4 linked regions of the Caenorhabditis elegans genome follow. The protein of the gene in region 2 interacts with the protein of the main gene of each other region in a biochemical or structural test. Each region holds a gene or a part of one and is shown on either strand. Other genes may lie near its edges.

Region 1 (4,879 bases), on a different chromosome or scaffold from region 2:
TCAAAAACTTGGCTAAATTATGTGGAGCCTATTTTTGAAGAATATGTTTTCCAACAATAAGAGTGACCGAGTTTTCTCAGGTTTCAAAAGTAATCTAAGACATGTAAGAAATAATTTAATTTAAAAAATTTTCAGCAAAAACTGGTGAGTTTTCTCACAATCAGAGTGATGTTTTTTGATAAGTCGTGTGAGCTAAAAATATATTTTTTTTTAAAGTATTTAAAAGAATTGTGTATTTTATTTAAATTTTTATTTTCAGAGAATTACTGCAGTTCTGATTTCAGCAGTTATCTTTCAAAAATACTCTAGAAAAACACTTGTTTTTGTTATTTCTGAGTTGAAGCAAGGTAGCTAAAGAATGAAGCAAGGAATTTAAAAACAGTGTTTCAGAATGAGAGACATAGAATTACAGTAAACCAGATACATTATAGACATTGAGAGCATCCTAATATTTGTACCTACTTCAAAGAAACTAACACGTGGCGCTTTGAAAGGGAGTGAGAGAAAGAGAAACGGAGGGACAACTCTATGTCTGTCTCTTCTTCTTCTTATTTTCTAATTTATATTTACATCTGCTTTCTTCTTCTCGTTTTCCCATCTGATGGTTTCCATAGTAAGTATCTGGGCTCTGATAAGCAAAGAGACGGCAGAGAGACTCGTGAAGGGCTTCTGGAGCAATAGTAGCTGCATGTGATGGACACTATTTGGAGTCTCCACCGTTAATCCCTTTTCTATTCCTGGAGGGATATTGGTGGGAAAGTGGATAGAAAAAGATAAAGCCTATGTTACACTAAGTTTATATAGAAAAGAGTTGAGCACAGATAGAGAAAAAGAGAGGGATTTGTTGAATTTAGATTTGGAACAATTGAAATAGTGAAAAACTGTTTTGCAAGTTCACAAGTATCCTGAAATTCATTCGTAGAAAATCTACATAGAGAATTGTCACTTTACTTTTGCAAATTTACAAAAACTGTCCTGTTGCGCTAAAACGGTAAAAACTGTAATGCCGCAGAGTAGAGGTCTCATTTGCAGTGATTTAATACATTTTCCATTTTTCATAATTTTCATTCTATTTAGAGACACTTCACTTTCAAACAACAAGGTTGCAACGGTGAATCTCTATATTTATAGAGATTTGTCATTCCATTCCCCGTAGATGGACTTTTCCCGTTTTTTTAGGTCAAGAGAAAACGGAGCACTATACTGCGGATTTGATGTTGTGTTAAAGGATTTGAGAAGTCTAGTTCTTCTGATTATTTCCTGATTTTGGCCGTTTCAAATTGGTCACACTCTTCCAATAAGCCTGTGGATGTACAAAGACTTTTATTCATTTTTATTCATTCAAAAGAATGACAAGAAAATTAATAAAAAGTGAAATGAATTTAACATTTCAAGAAAAAGGAAATTATGAAAAGTTGGTGACTGGTCCCCACAGTTGAAGATTGTAGATCAGCGCTGAAAAATAAAAAGTTAGTTTTTGAATAAAATCAAAAAAAGCTCGAACACTTACATTTTAAAGGAATTAGAAAATTTAATCAGACTCTCCAGCCATCAACTCCCAGAACTCCTCGAACTCAATCTTTCCGGAACCGTCCTCGTCAATCTCGTCGACAGCCTCCTCGAGTTGTTGATCGGTGAGGTCATCGGCGATTTCTTTGAGAAGAGCCTTCAGAGTTGGTCGAGAAATATATCCGTTACCCTGAAAAATTAATAATTAAAGAATAAAAAGCAAAATCTAAAAGTACAAACCTCCTTGTCGAAAAGACGGAAAGCTTCACGAAGTTCTTTCTCCAATGTTTCCTTGTCGACAGTGTTTGCAACGGTGTACACGAGAGCGCAGAACTCGTCAAACTCGAGCTTTCCGGAACCGTCAGCGTCGAACTTGCGGATCAGTTTACGAAGGGTCTAAAAGAATGAAGTTAGATGCCACATAGATTTAGAAAAATCAAAATCATCAATTCTATAACTAAATTTCATAACATATAGTTATATCTTACTTTAGTCGACATAATAAATGCTTTTGTTCAGATGGAATATCAAAATTAATTATTTCACAAACATTAGTAACATGTTTTAGTGGCGAAAATTAATTGAATTCAGTTGAGAAACAAGCCGCAGAAGATAGGTCGGATAAAAACAAAATTTTAGGCAAGAGTAACCCATTTATATTTTCGGTTATCTTACTCAGTTGGCCTACCTAATCATTACCGTGAAACCTAAATTTAAAAGAGTTGAAAACTTCCTAATTTGAATTATCACTCTTCTGAAGATCCCCTAACTCTACATAAACCAAAAGTTCCAAAATGATTTACCTTCTCATCGAAATCCTGTTCCATTCCATGCATGATTTGACCGATCTGAGTGGCCATGATGTATCCTTGCTTTCCTCTGTCGAAGGCATCGAAGAACTTTTGGTATTCTAGAAAGTTTTAATGATGATTTTTCAATCATAAATATAAAATATCTTACCCTCAATTTGGGATCCGTCGATTTCAGCAAGAATCTCTTCGATATCCTCAGCCTATAAAAGTATAAACATATAAAAATTCAAAAAGAAATTTATTGAAGACATGAGAAAGCGGGACTCACCATGTTGTCGGAGTTTGTTGTGCTCTGGATAAGCTTCGTCGGGCAGAAGCAACGGCGGGAGCGAGTAGGCGGAGGAACCCGAGGGCGGGCTTTTCTTTCTCACAACGGCATCATCGTCTCCTCCACAAAACACATTCTTGGTGTTACACTGGGTGACAGATGCTCCTGATCAACGGGCATGAGAGATCATAGAGGGCGAAGAGACGCAGAATGATATCTGTGTGGAAGTTGACGATGATTTTTGCGAAACACAGGATTCGAGAGACAAGGCTCTCCGAGAAGGAAGGGGAAACGGGAGGAGAGTACGAAGAAAGATTGGGGGGACAGGCAACCAAGGATCAATAAAAGTCCAGGAAATAGAAAAAAAATAATATAATTGGAGTAGAATTAAGTACAGAAATGGAGTTGACAGGCAATATATGTAATTGAACTTTCCCAGAATACTTGGATTCTTAGCTGTACATGGTGACCAGAACATCTAGCCTTTTTGGGCTTCAGAACACAACAACGTTTTTTTTTCAGTTTTTTTAAATGTGCACTGAGTATGTATATCTTTACAGTTTTATATCAAACGTTTAATTTGAATACTATTTTATAATTCTCAAGTTTCTCCAGTAACTTTTTATCGCGTGACACACCATTTTGAATTTAAACTTTATGTTTTTCCAATTCAGTTTAGTCGAGGGGGAGGAGGTAGATTTCTAATCATTCTTATTTATCATTTGACACTAAATTTCCGGATTTCAAAAGGAAACCATAATCGTGAGTTTGGAGCTAACAAGTAACTTCGGAAAACGTTATTTCTTTTGAAGAAGAATGTCGAAGAAAAAAGTGCAGAATACGAACAAAAAGATGAAAGAATGTTGGCTGACACCGATCCCACAGAATGTGGAAACTGTAAATATGACAGTTTCATTCAAGATTGATGAAAAAGATGTCGGAAAGCCTGCGAATGAAGTTATTAGAATTAATGAGAATTCGATGGTTTCTTTCCTATCAACAAACTCGTTTTACAATGGATTGATATTGAGTAAGTTTCCAACGGCCGGATAACCCGAAACTATTTTGAAGCGGGCCAACTTCATAACAGAATCTTGCAACTTCTTACAAACCATTATTTACTTTAGTTTTCTAACAAATTTCTGCAGCTTTTCAGATGACTCTTGCAATTTCTTTTGGCAAACTTTATGAAACATTTCGCTTAGAACTGCTCCGGTTTTTGCAACTTTGTAACATCTCTTGGCAATTGTTTATAAATGTTTGTTTCAAGTTGCAAGAGTTTGCTATGAAGTTGTGATGTTTTGCCGAACAAATGTATATTTATCCCCGATAAAATAATAGGCAAAAATTGGTTTGACTGGTACAAGGGTTTCAAAACTCTTCTGTCCACAATTATACATTTTGAGCCAGGAAAAGTCAATTTTCCTCGGAAGACTCCCTAGTTTCTTTTCCACTTTACACTTTTCCAATTAATGTATTAAACCAGTTTAAAAAACTAGATTAAAAATACTTTTCTTTCAGGCGACAAAATAGTCAAGGTGAACGGTGCCAGTGGAAATATATCCAAGTATCAGACAGAGCTCATGAAAGGTGAAACATGTAGTGTTGAGGTTACAAGACGGAAAAATATTATCCCAGCGACCAGAGAACGGTTGAAGAAATCGGGATGTGTTTTGAGACGGGACAATACGTGCTTTGTTATTGAAGTTGAAAAGGTATAATTGAAGAAAAATCGACATGATTATCTTATTCGAAAATATACGAAATCTGAACTTTGCAATGAGGTTTTGAACGGAGTTACAGAATGACCAATTAAATTCTAGAATTTTGCATGTTTTTTGAGTATGAATTGTTTTTAATTTAAAAAATTAAAGACGAAATTATGAAAGTTTTTTTGACGAAATGTGACGAACTGCTTGTTGCTTGACAACAAAAATTCTCATAAAATAATTGTTTAAAATAACTTTGGATTATACCTAGAACTTATGTCCACCCCTTAATAAATACCATTTACTCCAGACTTCCGCAATGAAAAGTGCAACGGTTGGAGTTACAGTGACATATATTCAAAAACGTGGCATAGTAACTCGAATCGAGCCCAGCTCACTCGCTTCGATATTCTTTGGTCGTGGGGATCTGATAATGGATATAAATGAAGAATCCATTCTGAACGCAGAGAAAAATGACGACTTCATTCGTGAGAAACTGTCGGGAATTTTGAAAGGAGAAAAAGTCACATTTTTGGTTGAAAGACCGGTTTCTGTGGAATCTGCAAACACTCTTCGTCATT
Region 2 (5,125 bases):
TTTCACTACGTCAGTTGTTGTGGTGGTTATACATATTTTATTGGCAAGTGCAGAGAGCAAAGCTGGCAGATTTCAGAAATAGTGGACTACTCAAAAGCCTGTTCCGGCCTGAAATTATTTCATGTAGCCCGGAAGAGGAGCTACTAGCCAAGTATCCTCTCCGTAAAGGTTGTCCAAAAGTTCCGGCAAAAATCTGAGCCCAGTGTGCTCATTGAGCAAAAACGTCCGTGAAAAAAAAAACTTGTCAACCCACATATCATGTTCCTTCTAGACATCAATCTTCTATGTTGATCAGGGACAACTATTTCGAAATTATTAGCTTTTTTCCTTGAAGAAACCCTTTTTTCTGTTCGATATCTATGCCTGATTAATGATATTTCGGAACAAAGCTCAGAAATTCTCGAAAAAAAATCAAAATGAGGAAGCTGCGGTGCTGATCGGAGCACATATGCTTCCGATTTCTTGTTGAGTGTTTGGCACAGAAAAAACAAGCATAGGAATCAAAAAATTTGCTTCAAGGAGCTTGAAATAATTGAAATTAATTCTGGAAACATTCAAATTTGCTCAGAAAATTGAAAAAAAACAGTTTTCAAATTAGTTGTAGTATTCTATGAAAATTAGCTCTCAAAATCCACCTTCAAACTGTACTCCAGTATTTTCCAAATTGCTCTAAGAAGCCTCGAAAAACAAAACTCAAAATGTTTACAACTAATTTCATTTTTATGAAATTGGAAAGCTCTGAGCCTTCGAAAATCAGTTTTCAAACGCGAAAAAAAATCCTGGCTCCTTCAAATTTGCTCTAAATCATTTGAAACTTAACTTCGAAAGTCCGAAATTTTCCTAACTTTTTTCAAAAAATGTTCAAAAAACCCAAAATTGACCTCCAGACTTCCCATTTTTCTCCCAATCATCAATCTTTTGCCACCTCAAAATTTGCGACAATTGATGTGGTGGCAACAACTGTTCTGATATCTCTCTTTTTTGCAAATTGATCCTCATTTTGATTGGCACCGGTGGTCTGATAAAAGGGATTCCCCCGGGGAATTCCTGCTAATTTCCGAATTCCCCTAGCACATTTTCTACCACAGAAAAAGAAAAGTAAGTAGTATTCCCAAAGCTTTCCCGTGAGAGCTCCGAGAGCTCTAGGCTCACACACACACATGTCGTTTCTATCTTGCGGCAAAAAGTGATGATGGGTTTTGAATTACCGCCGTTTTCACTAGTGCTTCTTGCCCGCCTCCGCCATTCTTTTTCGCCCTGTTTTATTACACTGTTCGCTTCTTCGTTTTGTTTCGTATGCAATATGTGCATCAGCAGTAGGAGCAAAAGTTATAGACGGGAGATAGAGAGAGAGTACAAGATGGAGGCGGAGAGCAGGGGAAAACAGGGAGGGAGGGGGTTCCGCAGGAAAAACATGTTTTAAACTTTGGTTTTAGTTTTCAGTCTTCTCCTCCTGATTCACTCATTCTGCCATTCGTTGTGATCAGATTACGTCATGCTTTTTGATTTTCCAGGTCTTACTTTTTTACCGTATATCTTGTCTAGCCTGATTAATATGCCATCGGCCGGGTTTTTTGCGGCTGCCATTATGAATTGTGGTTTTGTGAATATTTCGTAAAATTCAGTCTGCTGCAGCAAGCTTTAATAGAATTTTGGAAAACCCTGTGAGATGTCGGATGCATTGGAAACTGTTGGTCTTGTGAAAACCAATTCAATGTCGGCTGCAGATTTGTTTTTGTTTTTTACACTTTTTGCAAAACTTTCTTGCAGCCAACATGTCCTGGGTTAAACTAAATTGTATCAATGTCGGCGACAACATTTTACTTTTTAAAAACTATCGAAGCTGCTTGCAGCTGATTTCTCACGGGTTCCCAAAGTTCCGCTAAACCCAGTTATGTGTCGGCTGCTATAACGTATCATCTAAATATAAATTAATTTCCTTGCACCCGACATTTCCCGGGTTCACAATCTATTACGTCTTAAAATTTTGGCTGGAAAAAATTACAAAAACCTCTGTTTTATGGAAACTTGCGGCCGACATCTGCCGGGTTCAACAAAATGTCTCGATGCTTTAAATGTACAAAATACACCCGGTTAAGTGTCAGCTGCAGATATCTAAGCCTATACTGAAAATTAGTTTGCAGCCGACATTTCCCGGGTTTGCCGCCGCCGCCACCGGTCGGCTGCGTCGGCCTCTTTAGGTTACCGTAGTATCTTTCAGAACATTTTATGTTCTTTGTTCTAATTCTCAAATCCCATTTCTCTACTAACTTCTTCCATATGCTATTATTTTTCCTTCCTGCTCCGCACACATACTAATCAAGATTTATTGCTCAATTTCTCTTTCCCGCCCCGCTTGCCACTTCTCACAGATCAACTTTTCCAGGTCATTTTTCCCCGCCAAAATGCTGATTGAAGACGAGAACATTCGCTACGGCGGAGCTCAGGCTGATGTTGAGGACGTAAGAAGTTGCTCAATTTTCAGATTACTTAAAATTAATTTCAGGATGCCGCCCGCAAGGCTCAAGAGCGTGAGCTCAAGAAAGCCGAAGTCCGTAAGCGTATGGAGGAGGCAGCAAAGAAGGGATCCAAGAAGAAGGGTTTCTTGACTCCAGAAAGAAAGAAGAAGCTTAGAGTGAGTAAAGCCTTGGCTGTAACTTTTTAGATATCAGAATAATTCCAGAAACTTCTCATGATGAAAGCCGCCGAGGACTTGAAGCAACAGCAAATGCTCAAGGAGCAAGAACGTCAGAAGACCCTTCAGCAGCGTACTATCCCACTTCCAGACGTCGACTCGATCAATGATCAGGGACAACTCTTGAAGATCTATGAGGATATGTTCGCCAGAGTTTGTGCTCTTGAGGAGGAGAAGTTCGATATCAACTTCGGAGTATCCCAGACTGAGGCAGAGATCAATCAGTTGACTATTCAAGTTAATGACTTGAGAGGAAAGTTTGTGAAGCCAACATTGAAGAAGGTGTCCAAGTACGACAACAAGTTCAAGTCATCCGGAGAAGTTAAGGTGAGAGATTGGAAATAATGAATTTTGTAGAAACTTTTCGAAGCCTCGTTAGGTGTCGGCTGCTGCAAGACAATTTTTGAAATTTTTTGAACAGACCAGTTAGGTGTCGGCTGCAAACTATAAATGTGGGCATCTAACTATTGCGTTTGCAAAACAGATGCAGCCGACATCTTTGGGGATCACCCAAAGCTCGCTAATTCCCGTGAACTGTCGGTTGCAACAACTTTTCGTGCCAAATGCAGAAAACACCAAAAATGCGTTAAAATTGTGTAAAAAAATGTTAAAATGCTCAACTCAAACACGGCAAACCACTATTTAATTTCGGAAAGAAAAATTTGACTGAAAATTTCCATTGAAAAATATTCCGATATCTTTTTAAAAACATTTTAGTTTTTTTAAAGTTCTCAAATTGTTCCAATTGATTTCCACCAAATAACAATAAATTTCAGGAAAAATCAAACTTCCGCAACAACCTGAAAGTGGTCAAAAAGGAGACGGACCTCGACGAAATCATGGCAAAGAAGAAGGGAACCGCCGACGGAAAACCAGAATGGTCCAAGAAAGAGAAGAAGGAAGAAGAGGCTGCACCAGTGGAACTAGCTGCTCCAGTCGAGCCAGAGGCCGAGCCAGAACCAGAAGCCGCCGAGCCAGCAGCTGAAGAGCCAGAAGCCGAAGAGGAAGAGGAAGAAGAGGAGGAAGAGGAATAAGAAGTGGTGATCTTTTTGTAGATTTTTATGTGCTTGAGCTTATTGATTTTTTATTGTCAAAAAAAAAATTAAATATGATAATCGCATTTTTCATTGCTACTTATGAAAGTTAATGGAGAGAAATTGAAATAAATCTTTTGAAAACTGATAAACCCCCAAATTTTGCTAAGTAGCCTTGCTGCAAGCGCGCTCTGCGGACAAAAAAACGGTATATACCAAATATAAAATTATCAACGGAGCGCGATTACACACAGACACTCACCATTTTTCTGCCATTTCGTGTCCTTTGTCTCATCATCACAAAGCTCCAACTGATCCGTGCTCCACCATTTTTCACCCAAAAAATTCGTGAATTGCTCGTTGAAATCGTCCTGGGCGAGCAGCCAAATATGTCTGCATTGGCTGTAAAGCCACGTGGCACACAGTAGAGAAACAAGACCCAGAATTTGACGGAAAGTGACAGAAATCATGATGGTTTTCTAAAAATAAATATGATTAAGTTGCGGAAAAAGCGGAAAGTGGGAAAGTTTATCGAAACAAAAAAAAACAACAGAAAAGAAAACATACCGGCGACGGCAGAAAATGCAACTTCAGTTTTATCCCGATTTCCACGTACTGAGCACATTGTGCAAAATGAACTTTTGGAGAATAAATGGAGCAAAGGGTCGAAAAGGTTCAATGAACTTTTTCACGCTGAAATATATTTGGGATTTTAATTTATTAGAAACGTTAAAAAATATATTAATTCTTAAATTGACAGTTTTAAATTTGAAAGCTATATTTTCAAAGGATCTGTAAATTTTTTTCAAATAGGATTTTGTATTTTTGGATATATTTCTGTTTTAAAAATGTTGCTTCTTTTTTTTCAAAAAAAAAAGTTAAATTTTTGAAATGTTGTCGGAAATTTTTAAGAAACATTGGATCAGAAAAATTCCAAAAAATTCAGTTTTCTTAAAATAACGGGCAACAAATTTTCAAAAACACAAAAACTAGGCATCCGCGCCTTCACGCCTGCTTACCTACCTGCCCTACATCTCTTTGTCTGCATTTTGGAGTGAAGTTAAAACAATGGCATTTTCCATATTACAAATTTGATTACTGAAAGCTCAACAAATAGATTTCAAAATGTTCAGGTGAATTCTGTCTTTAGGCAGGCAGGCGTGTAAAAAACTTACCTTTGAGAACATTTGTCCTCGATTTGTGATGTTTCAAAAAAAGTAGACTGAAAAAACGCGTTGTTGTCTAACTTCCGCCATTTATTATTAACATTCTAGTGTGAAATTATCAACTCTGGCATATACGGGGTGCTATAATTATGTTGTCAGAAGAATGGAAAAGCAATTATCATTGCCAAAACGGGCTCGGATATGGCATTTGCAAAAAAATGAATTCGCTA
Region 3 (5,884 bases), on a different chromosome or scaffold from region 2:
AATCCCGCATTTTTTGTAGATCAAACAGTATTGGGACAGCCTGACACCGAAAGTAAGAATTTTCGCATTAAGGGCCTACCCTAGAAATTTGTATCTGAGAACCAAAATCTGAGGGAAAACCCTGGGAATTGTAGAGTAGTTTCCACCGAAAACCTTACACAAAAAGAGTCAAAACTTGCGTCTACTTGCCGTGGCGAGACCTACTCGGTACTATTGTAATTTCTTTCTAAATTTCCCGCATTTTTTGTAGATCAAACAGTAATGGGACAGCCTGACACTAAAAGTAAGAAATTCCGCAATAAGCGCCTGAAAATGTCAAATAAAACCCCTAGAAATTAGTACCTAAGACCCTGCAAATTCCTTTAAAAAATTTGAAAATGCAGCGCATTTGCCTAGTTCTCGGAAGAAAATCCTAGGAATTTTAGAATTTTTACGAAAATCGTGGCGAGACCCATTAGGCACTACTGTAGTTTCTATTTTGGTGTGTGCGCTTTCATTTATTCTCATTTATTTCCATTTCAACTGACATGCCATTCACTTGCCCCTTGAAAAATGCCGAGAAGCCGATCACACAGCTCTCCTCGTTTCTTGAAATTGCGGGGGAGATGCTCTCTCTCTCTCTTTCCCGCCGCGCCGCCCGTTGATGCTCAGTGAGCCCTCGGGAGCCTATTGGCGGGGAGGAGTTGTTGTAAAGCAAACATCTCGTTGTAATCAGTTGGAAGAGAAGAAATTGAGAGAGAGAGAGAAGCTAGAGAGACTTAGAGATTAGACAATGGCGCAGGCAGGGGAAGGAAGCCCCCAACAGCACTTCATACACTCCTCGAACTTTATCTTCTTCTTCTTCTTCGCCTCTCGCTCATTTGAGCAGTAACGGAAAATGGGATTGAGCTTTTCGCAAAGAAATTGGATTTCGGCGCGCCAAGTTGTGTGCAAAAAAAACGTCGGGAGAGGGAAAAAAGTTCTCGACAAAAAAAGGTTTTTTTCCTAAAAATCACTGATATTTTTCCACTTCTACCGCTTTAAAGGAGGGCGCACTTACACGAAATGGTCCCGCCACGCATTGATTTTTGGGCCGCGTGGCGGGACCATTTCGTATAAATGCGCCCTCCTTTAAAGTTGGAGAAGTGGAAAAAAATGCACTGTAGATATTCTAGGAATCTAGATAAATTCGGTGATGCGTGGGATTCAAAATAGGCTTAACATACACTTGAAATACTCCGAAGTTGGAAATATTGAGCATTTTTTTCGAAGACTATGAAAAGTAATGCATGAAAAATCACCACGAGGAATTTGAATTCTGCTGGATTATTATATTACACGTGGTGTCAGAGTGGCTCACTTCGGTTTGATCTACATAAATGCGGGAGAAGAGACGCACAGTTCTTAACTGATTTCGCATGGCTAAGAATGTGCTGACTAAAAATTCCCACATTTTTTGTAGATCAAACTTCAATGAGACAACCTGGCACCACGTGTTAATAGATCACATTCGCTTAAAGTTACCGCCAGACTAGTGAAATTCCAAAAAAAATGCCACTGCTCTAAGCTTTAAATTTTTAGGATCAGTACTTGAAAACTAATAGCTTGTTAAGCTAGAAAATTAAATATCACATGGCACCACTTAGAATTTTCCGAAATATTGAAAAGTAGCCTTGCAAAATTTGGCTAAGGCCGGAGCTTAAGAATGTTTTAAGCCAACAAAATTTTTTCAAGAACGTATAGCAATGACTAAAGGGAATTACATAAATTGACAACACTTTTTGCTCACAATCAGTTTTCAATAAAACAGTATAATGACAACTTACAAAATTGGGAAATCTGGAAAACCGAGCTAAAAGTGATGCCAATCTGGTTTGAACATCATTACATAATGTTATATAACATGCTAACTAGATAACAGCCACACCCTGATCAAGTCTTTTTCGGGAAAGAAGGATTTCTACAGTACCCTATCTCTGACTCTCGACGGAATGAAAAAAGTGAATCATGATTGAATACAGTACAATGTATACCAAACATTTGAAGAAACAATATATATATATATATATGAACATTATTGAAAAAAGAAGACACACACACACACACAAAACAATAGCTACCCCGGTGGGGGAAGAAGCCTATGGGAAGTGAGAGAAAGAGGGTGGAAAAGAGAAAAAAACCGCGGATCATCATCAACGTCACCCTCTCTCACTCATTTTCATGCCCAAAAGGACAGGAATGGAAAACTAGCTGTATATATGTATGTATCTCTCTCTCTTCATTCCAACTACTCACTGACTAATTAACGGATTAATTGACTTTGAACATCGCGCCACAAACCTGGTCGTTGTGCTTGTGGATTGGGAATTGGAAATACCTGAAGTCGGTTTAGAAACCAAAAGCTGCCCGGATTGGGCTTTAAAAAGAAAGTCGACTCACCTCTTGAACGGTCTTCTCCTTCTCCTCGAGCTTGGAGGTGGCGGCGGAGAGGTCCTCCTGAAAAATGGAAGTTTGATTTTGAGCTTATTCTTTTAGCTTAGCTTAAGCCTAAGTGTTTCAGCTTAGGAGCATAAGCCCAGGGAGACAGGTAGACCTAGGTGGACGATGCACCATGAGCTTCGAATTTGATTTCTAGTGGTGTCCTAGGTAAATTTTAGATTCCAGGTTAAATTTTTAGGGCTAAAAGTTACAAATTGAGCACCCTGCACTATGAATTTCGAATTTTGTTTTTAGGGTGATTTTTAGTTATACTTTAAGATTTTATAGGTTACTTGAGCGCCAGTGTCTCTAAAAAATTTTGTTTTCTGAAATCGGACTGTAATCAAAATTCGCTATATATAAGGTATTGTAAAAGCTTGATTCCAAAAAATTAGGAAATTTAGAGCTCAACTTCTGCTTTTCAGAACTTTGCTCAGTTTCAGGCCAAAATCTTCCGGGATAGCGGCTTTAAGTTGAGAAAGTAGGTATTAATAATACGCTAATTATATATGGTATCAAAGTAGAAGCTAGACAATATTTTGGAACTTCTAGAAACTCCTGCGATTTTCATGAATTTTTAAGCTTCCTGGTAAAAATCTGATAGCTTAAAGTCTTATCAAACCAAGATCTAAGCGAAAATTTAGGAAGCCAGTTTATATGGGGTCTTAAAATCGATAAAATATACGCAAAGAGCCTAAATTCTGGCTTAAACCCATACCTGAGCCTTGTCCAAATCGTCTCCGGTCTGAGTCATCTTCTTCTGGGTGTCTCTGAGCTCTTCCTCGACTCTTTCGAGCTTCTCGGTGATCTGACGGACTTTCTCTTCAGCGGCATCGGCACGATCGAGAGCGTTGTCCTAGAATATGTGTATATGGTTTTGAGGAAAAATTCAAAATATTGGAATGTATATGACCACTACTAATTTTAAAATTGAAAAAGTTGAAGAAATTCACTATAAAACAGTATTAAAATTTAAAAAAAGTGTGGAAACCTTCTCGATCTTCATGGCCTGCATCTTCTTCTTAATGGCGTCCATTTTTGGTAGTTTGTTGTTGTGTTGAAACACACGGAGTATCGACGATTCAAATTGGAGGGGAGAATGATTCTTCTTCTCCCGTTAGCTTCAGGTTCCCGTCTTCACGAGACTCCTCCCACACGAGCCCCCGCTTCTTCTTCTTCTTCTTCTCTCTTCTCACTTCCTCCACAACATCAGACGGGGGTGTGGCAGATGATTAGATAGTATTGATTTCGTGGAGACCTATGCCTATGGGATCCCTGCCCACCCACCCCCCTGGAGCATATTACAGCACACACGGAGCAACGGGAATTGTGGGGAGAAGAGCAAGAGCCGATGGCAGATGGAAAAGATGATGATTGGGGAGAAGAAGGGTTTCTCGTGGAATGGAAAAAGGAACAAAACTTTAAAAAAAAACCACATAATTAGTAAGGTGGTATGGTGTTCCAGGACCGATATTCGCGTGGTCGCTTGATGACGTGGCAAAAGCCGTTCTGAGCCTCTTTACATTAAAAAATTGAAACGATTATCAATTTGATTGTTAATTACGTTATCGTACAAATAGTAACGATATTTCTTATATATCTAGACTGTTAGTAATAATAACCATAAGTGATGTAAAATCAAATTGCTGCAAAATTTTCGAAAATTTAACTCAAGATTGACTAAAACTTTAATAAATTATTAAAGTAATGGTGTCATTAAAATTAGTTACATTTTTAAGGACATCCTTAAATTTGAACATTAATGGAGTTAAAATTAAAAAATAAGTGTCTCATTTTCGAGGCCTAACAAGGCTTCAACCTTAACATTAACATTACTGGTAGCCTTTTTTAAAGCCTATTAACAAGCCTTCAAGCCTAACATAACGAAATCATATTGCCTTTCACCATACATCCAATATGAACAGATATCATAAATCTGGGCTTCCCTAGTAATATTACACTACGAAAGAGTATGCTACAAGTATGGTTTTTTTCCAGTTGAACCTTTTTTTAAGAACCTTGAAACTTTATGGAAAGGGTTGCAACACTAATGCACACGTGATATAAGATATCCTATTACTGTAACTATTCATGAATGAATTTTTAAAGAAAACTGAACAATCAAAACTGAATTTTAAAAAATATGACAAGCTCAGTTTTTACAGTGCCATGTTACATAGCTTTGTTCTCCGGAATTTGATTAGTGTCTAATTTTACAATAAGAAGTACCACATTTCATCTTTCCAATTTTCATACATTCCCATATTTTTCCATTTCTCTTTACCCACTATTAGGGCTGTACAACCGGACGTCCGGTCGTCCGAAGTTCGAACCGGACGCACATGCGTCCGGTTGGGGGTAGCTATCCACGACGGCCGACAATTTCCGAATTTCGCCACTCACTATAAAATTGCTGATTAAGTATAGTGAGTGGCGAAACTCGGAAGTTGTCGGCCGTCGTGGATAGCTACCCCCAACCGGACGCATGTGCGTCCGGTGGTGTCAAAATCGGACGACCGGACGCCGATTTGTACAGCCCTACCCACTATCCATAGAAACGCATTTACTTCCCTTAAACTTTTTTTTGTTATTGTTCTTTTTTTTTATCTCAGATTCCCAAAAGTCGGTCAATGATCAGAGTCTCAGTTTTTGAAATCCTGACATTAGAATCCAATACTACTTGTGTGTATATGCTCTTCTTCTTATCCCCGAAAAGAAGCAATTGTGGCATCCAGCCGACGACAAAACATTCGAAACAGTTGGCGTTCGAGAGTTTATTGTCAAGAGGGCAACTTGTTTGATAATATCAGTGGATTATGTGGAAGAGGTATAATAGTAGTGGTTTATTTTGAATTTAGGGTTATATTTAATGATTTTGTAGGAGAATACTTGTTAAAACTATTTATCATAGACAGTATTTCTAAATAAGTCGTGATAATTTAATGTCAACTAAGATTCGTGATCATGTATATATGCATGTATGTATGTATTACGATTATATAATGGTGATGAAAAATAGATCCATGAATAGTACCAGCTACTTGCTACACTATTTCCTATCGATTAGTCTTGCATGTAATATGACTAGGGGGACCTCGTTATATAATATCTGTTCGTATTGGATGTGTCGGAAAAGAAAAGACACTTCTTTTCTAAATTTCATTCTATCCGAATTAATGTTCAAAATGACATATTTACTATAATTATGCATTGACGGATTAGTCAATTTTCAGATAAGTTCGCAAAATTAAGTACTTCAACCCAATTTTATATCAAACGTGATTACCATAACTTCTAGTCTACATAAGGCTAGAGGAAATATTGTTACTTTTTGCACGCTATCGTAAATTGAACGTTAATGAAAATAAGTAGTGTCAGCCGAAATTTCCTGAAGACTGTGGTTTTCTGTCTGAATTTAGCATTTTTC
Region 4 (4,887 bases), on a different chromosome or scaffold from region 2:
TGGTTGGACGTAGTTGTAGTTGTTGATAAGTCTCAACTGATGACAAATGCACAGCTCTGGCAGGTTAGTTGTAATTTTTAAAAATCAAAGTTTTTCTTTAATTTGAAAGTTTAAAAAAATCTTAAATTATTTCCCAAATGTCCAAATTAACAAACAATGTTTTTAGGTCAGAAATACCATTACTCAATTATTTGGCTCATCTCGAATCGGTCCAACTAAATACCCAGCGGATCCTCGTAGTACATGTGTTGGAGTTGTGACGTATGATTCCGATGCTACCACAAACGCTCAATTGGACGGACCACACAGTTTCACTGATTTGTACAATGTGGTTCAAGGATCATTGAACAACGTCGATTCTACAAATTCGTCGTATTTGAGCAAGTGAGTTGAGATCTTCATTAAAAAAAAAGTAACTCGCACAAGTTTCAAAACTCACCAACTTTCAGAGGACTTCTGGCGGCTGAGCAAGCACTCAAGAATGGGCGTAGCCGCACATATCGGTTCAACTTTCTGAAAGTTGTTATAGTTTTTGCAGCTGATTATCAGTAAGCTGGAAAGAATGATGTAACATTACTAAAAAGTTAAATTTCAGAGGATCAGGAACCTCTAATGATGCATTCCCAATTGCTAGACGCATGAAATATGACAATACTATTATCATTACGGTAGCGTGCACAACGAATCAAGCAGCATTGGATGGATTAGCACAGATTTCTAGTCCTCAATTCAGTTTAGTGGATGAGATGAATACTTCTAAATTGGTTAAACAGTTGACAACGGCGCTATTGAGCAGTACGTTATATATTTTTACGTTAACTAACTGAAAAATGCATAATGACTATTATGTCTGTGGCATCATATCATTAGAAATCTCTTGAAACTATCTAATTGGAATTAATATGCATTCAACATTCATAGAGAACCAAAGATTGTAATCGTTGGTTGGATGTAACATACCTGGGTAATTTATCACATTAGTCAAATTATAGTTGAGTACGAATTCAAACAACAACTATTTCAGTCAACTGCTTCTGCCCAGAAAACTGGGTTCAGTTTACTGGCAACGGAACTCAATACGGAGTTTGTCTTCGAGGATTTACTGCAACTGGCGGAAGTTACGGTTACCAACATGCCATCGATTATTGTGCCAGTGAAGTTAAAAATGCTCACTTAGCAAATGAGTTCAGTCAGGCCAAACACGATTTTATGCAAAGTGAGATTAAACTTCAAAAACTAAGCATTTCAGCAAAATTACCTATAAATTAATTTCCAGTTCTCATGGCAATTTCGTTCCCCAAGTACAAGCCATTGGAATACTACATTGGATTACGTAACTTGGGAAATCAGTGGCTCTGGGAGCAGCCTCAAGGCCAGGACATGATTCCGGTACTTTATAGATTTTGTTATTTGTGTTTGAAAAATATTGTGTGTTTCAGCTTAATCCACTGATCTATTCAAAGTGGGCTCCAGGATTTCCACAAGCAAATTCTACGAACCAAGTTATTTCGACACAACCATTGCAGGAGGGATCTACTGATGTAAGTCGTTTTGCAACATGAATTTTGCAATATCTTTCAACAAATGAATTTTTATATCGTTGATACGGTACTTCAATATTTTCCTTAAATCTTGTTACAGTTCTTCTGGGCTCCACCTCAGACCAATGATTGGCTCTTCATCTGTCAAGTTCAAGCAAGCAGCACAGAATACTACACTACGTATTTGGAAAATTGATGATCAATTTTATTTTATAAATTTTATTCTTAATCATTACTTGTTCTAACATCAAAAGGGTCGACTACATGGGAATTTTTTTACAATATTTTTTTGAGATTTCTTTTATTTTTTTTATCAACTTTTATCAAATAAATTGAAAGCATGAAAATGTAAGATTTGTTGTTTTTTACAAAAAGAATTATTGGAAGTCAGTGAATGGTAAGGCGCCGTCAGAAATCATTGGTAGGATAAAAATTAAAATTATTCTCCAGACATCATTTCCATGAACTCATCGAAATCGACAGTTCCGGAACCGTCAGCATCAATTTCAGCAATCATTTCGTCGAGCTCTTCCTCTGAAACATTATCGTCAAGAGCACGGAGAATGTCACGAAGATCTGAGACGTTGATATATCCGTTTCCCTGAAAGTTAAAATTTAGGCTTTAAAATTATATTTTCTTCAATTTCAATGGTTCAGACTGTAAAAGAAATATTGATGACATACCGTATTTTTTCTCTTGAACCATCACTCAACTTTGATGGCTACTATCTTGGTTGTCTTTAGTTCTATTTTTGAAAAATTACTATCAGAATTTGGAGAAATATTTTGTACATACTTTGCCAGTTGACAATTTTTGATTAAACTAATGAAAACCGAGATATAAGCTGACAACGTGAAAAAAGGTCATGCTCAAGAATTCAACAAATTATTAGTTTACAACAAACAAAGTTTTCAAAAAGAATTTCAGAATTCACATAATTTCAAATAGAAGAAATACATAGGACAAAAGTATTGACTTTTTTCATATTTTTCTCAAGATTTACTTCTCTCCTTTCATTTTCCCTAAAAATATTAGAAACCAAAATTGCAAATAAACATACTTCTTTGTCGTAAAGACGGAAAGCCTCGCGAAGCTCCTCCTCGAGTCCTTCGTCGTTCTCATTGTTGACAACAAAGTTGGCAACCATAGCGGCGAACTCTTCGAACTCAATCTCTCCGGAACCTGAAAAAGGATTGGTACTGTAGATTTATGGCCGGTGGGGGAAGTATACCATCAGCATCGAACTCCTTGATGAGCTGTTTCAAGTCACGCTCTTCGAAGGCTTGTCCCATGGTACGGAGGATTTGTCCGACCTGGAATTTCAGAGTTTAACAATTTCTTGGGAGTATTTTAAGAAAAATTCAAGAAATTCCAATTTGAACAGCAATTTGCTACAAAATTAAAACTCCACAAACCTGGGTAGCACGAATATATCCTTTTCCCTCTTTATCGAACATGTTAAAGTATTTACGGAATTGCTCGATCTGATCGGCAGAAAGCTTTTCCAAAGCATCAGCAACGACGTCTCCCTACAAAATTGCACATATTCACAGATTTATTTATAGACATAATTAGCTACAAATTACCAATAAAACAAAACTCTTACCATGATTGATGATTGACCTGATCGACACGAGGAAAAGTTTCTTCGACAAAATGCGAAAAGAGAGGGAAAATCCACAAACTGCTCAAGTGGCTTACAGCGCGGGAGGAGCTCTAACGAGAGCACACAATGCGTCGGCGGGGGATGTGTTTGGATATTGGAGACAGACTGTTAAAATGTGTGAGATGTAGACATAAAAAGGCACTGTGCAGGGATACAGCCGGATAGAAGTAGAACTCGGGGGCTCGGAGATAGGTAAACTGATAGAGCATTGGTGGGTACAGTTGAAGGCATTTTTGAAGTATTCGGGGAAAGAGTAAGTCAATGTGTTACTACTATAGAAACTTCCAATAGTATTGGGCAGTTTATCATCTGAAAATTTTGAAAAAAACGAATGTGCTACAAAATACTAGCTTAAAGTAATTGGAGTAATTGGAAATTTTCGATGGTGGAACTAGCAAAAAAATTTTATTCAGAAATGTATTGTATTCAATTAGTATTGAAAGCGTGGTCGTTTGAAGTGAAAAACAACTTTTAAATTATAGCCACTTATTTAATTATATAGCCACTTATTTAATTATAGCCACTTATTTAATTATAGCCACTTATTTACTTATAGCCACTTATTTAACTTATAGCCACTTATTTAAAACATACGTTGCCCCCATCATAAACTATTGCTCTGAGATCTACTCCCCTTCCCCCAACTCCTCACTCTCTGCCATACTTGAAAAACCGCTTAGGACCTTCACCAACCGCGTCCTGCAAAGGTGCAACGTTAAATTCACCTCTTACGAAAACAGACTGTGCATCATGGAACTATTCTCCACCAGACACACTAGAATTAAAGCTCAAATGAAACTATTATATAGACTTCTTACCGGTTCTACTCATTTCTCTAAATTAACTCAGTTTGTCAAGTTCTCTAATTCCAATAGGAGACCCATGATTCTGGTTAGGAAAGACACATGCACCTCTCATTTCTTTGCCAAATCCATTCCTATTTGGAACAATCTTGTCAAAAATATACCGGTATTTCTCTCCCCCTATCAGTTTTCAAGTTTTCTCGATCTCAATATTCCCCGGTATTAACTTTTATCCGCTGGTTCTCTTTGACTTCTAACTGATCTCTTCTACCACATTACCCTCTCTCTCCTTTCCCGTCCCAAACTCGAGACGTACTCTTTCTGGGTTAGTCTCGTTTTACCGTTTTATTTAACACTCAAAATTCAATTGTACAGTTGTAAATTGCATTAGTTATGTTAAATAAATCAATCAATCATCTGAAAATTTTGAAAAAAACGAATGTGCTACAAAATACTAGCTTAAAGTAATTGGAGTAATTGGAATTTTCGATGGTGGAACTAGCAAAAAAATTTTATTCAGAAATGTATTGTATTCAATTAGTATTGAAAGCGTGGTCGTTTGAAGTGAAAAACAACTTTTAATTAGTCTGATTAATTTATTAAAACAATTGAGTAAAAGTACAGTTGTTAAAAATTGAGAAAACCAATACAGAAAAAATACCGGACAGAAATTTTGTAATCATTTCCAAGAAAAAGTACAATTATAAAAACCGAACCTGGATATCAGAAAAACCGACTAAACTGTTTGAGGAAAAATAAATAAAAATAATTAATAATATTAAACTGAAACACGGGATTTCTTCTTGATTTCCTTGACAAGTTCTGGATTGTAGAATGGATTGGCAACGAGTTTCACTGGAGATTGAGCCTTGGCAA

What was found.
Region 1: the proteins of tni-3 (region 2) and pat-10 interact in far-western blotting, tested with the Caenorhabditis elegans proteins (2 studies listed by BioGRID).
Region 3: the proteins of tni-3 (region 2) and lev-11 interact in far-western blotting, tested with the Caenorhabditis elegans proteins (one study listed by BioGRID).
Region 4: the proteins of tni-3 (region 2) and tnc-2 interact in far-western blotting, tested with the Caenorhabditis elegans proteins (2 studies listed by BioGRID).

Annotation. Positions count from the first base shown.
Region 1 is NC_003279.8:5,017,472-5,022,350, forward strand, and holds pat-10 (EF-hand domain-containing protein), read right to left. Parts: upstream 2,616-4,879; 5' UTR 2,593-2,615; coding exon 2,590-2,592; intron 2,522-2,589; coding exon 2,470-2,521; intron 2,420-2,469; coding exon 2,313-2,419; intron 1,906-2,312; coding exon 1,750-1,905; intron 1,700-1,749; coding exon 1,532-1,699; 3' UTR 1,511-1,531; intron 1,456-1,510; 3' UTR 1,312-1,455; downstream 1-1,311. Other genes in the region: C46H11.6 (PDZ domain-containing protein), read left to right, coding at 3,406-3,619, 4,111-4,304, 4,609-4,879.
Region 2 is NC_003283.11:16,832,390-16,837,514, reverse strand, and holds tni-3 (Troponin I 3), read left to right. Parts: upstream 1-2,386; 5' UTR 2,387-2,405; coding exon 2,406-2,462; intron 2,463-2,506; coding exon 2,507-2,635; intron 2,636-2,683; coding exon 2,684-3,022; intron 3,023-3,471; coding exon 3,472-3,729; 3' UTR 3,730-3,877; downstream 3,878-5,125. Other genes in the region: phy-3 (Fe2OG dioxygenase domain-containing protein), read right to left, coding at 3,992-4,199. UniProt on the Caenorhabditis elegans protein: Troponin I is the inhibitory subunit of troponin, the thin filament regulatory complex which confers calcium-sensitivity to muscle actomyosin ATPase activity.
Region 3 is NC_003279.8:14,627,467-14,633,350, forward strand, and holds the start of lev-11 (Tropomyosin isoforms a/b/d/f), read right to left. Parts: upstream 3,629-5,884; 5' UTR 3,494-3,628; coding exon 3,449-3,493; intron 3,314-3,448; coding exon 3,176-3,313; intron 2,476-3,175; coding exon 2,419-2,475; intron 1-2,418. UniProt on the Caenorhabditis elegans protein: Tropomyosin, in association with the troponin complex, plays a central role in the calcium dependent regulation of muscle contraction. Involved in muscle actin filament organization and muscle arm extension and morphology.
Region 4 is NC_003280.10:10,465,201-10,470,087, reverse strand, and holds tnc-2 (Troponin C), read right to left. Parts: upstream 3,237-4,887; 5' UTR 3,152-3,236; coding exon 3,149-3,151; intron 3,072-3,148; coding exon 2,958-3,071; intron 2,856-2,957; coding exon 2,774-2,855; intron 2,725-2,773; coding exon 2,603-2,724; intron 2,143-2,602; coding exon 1,981-2,142; 3' UTR 1,738-1,980; downstream 1-1,737. Other genes in the region: clec-143 (VWFA domain-containing protein), read left to right, coding at 1-63, 167-384, 450-548, 596-795, 1,025-1,216, 1,277-1,389, 1,440-1,541, 1,642-1,737; sdz-37 (SKN-1 Dependent Zygotic transcript), read right to left, coding at 4,790-4,887.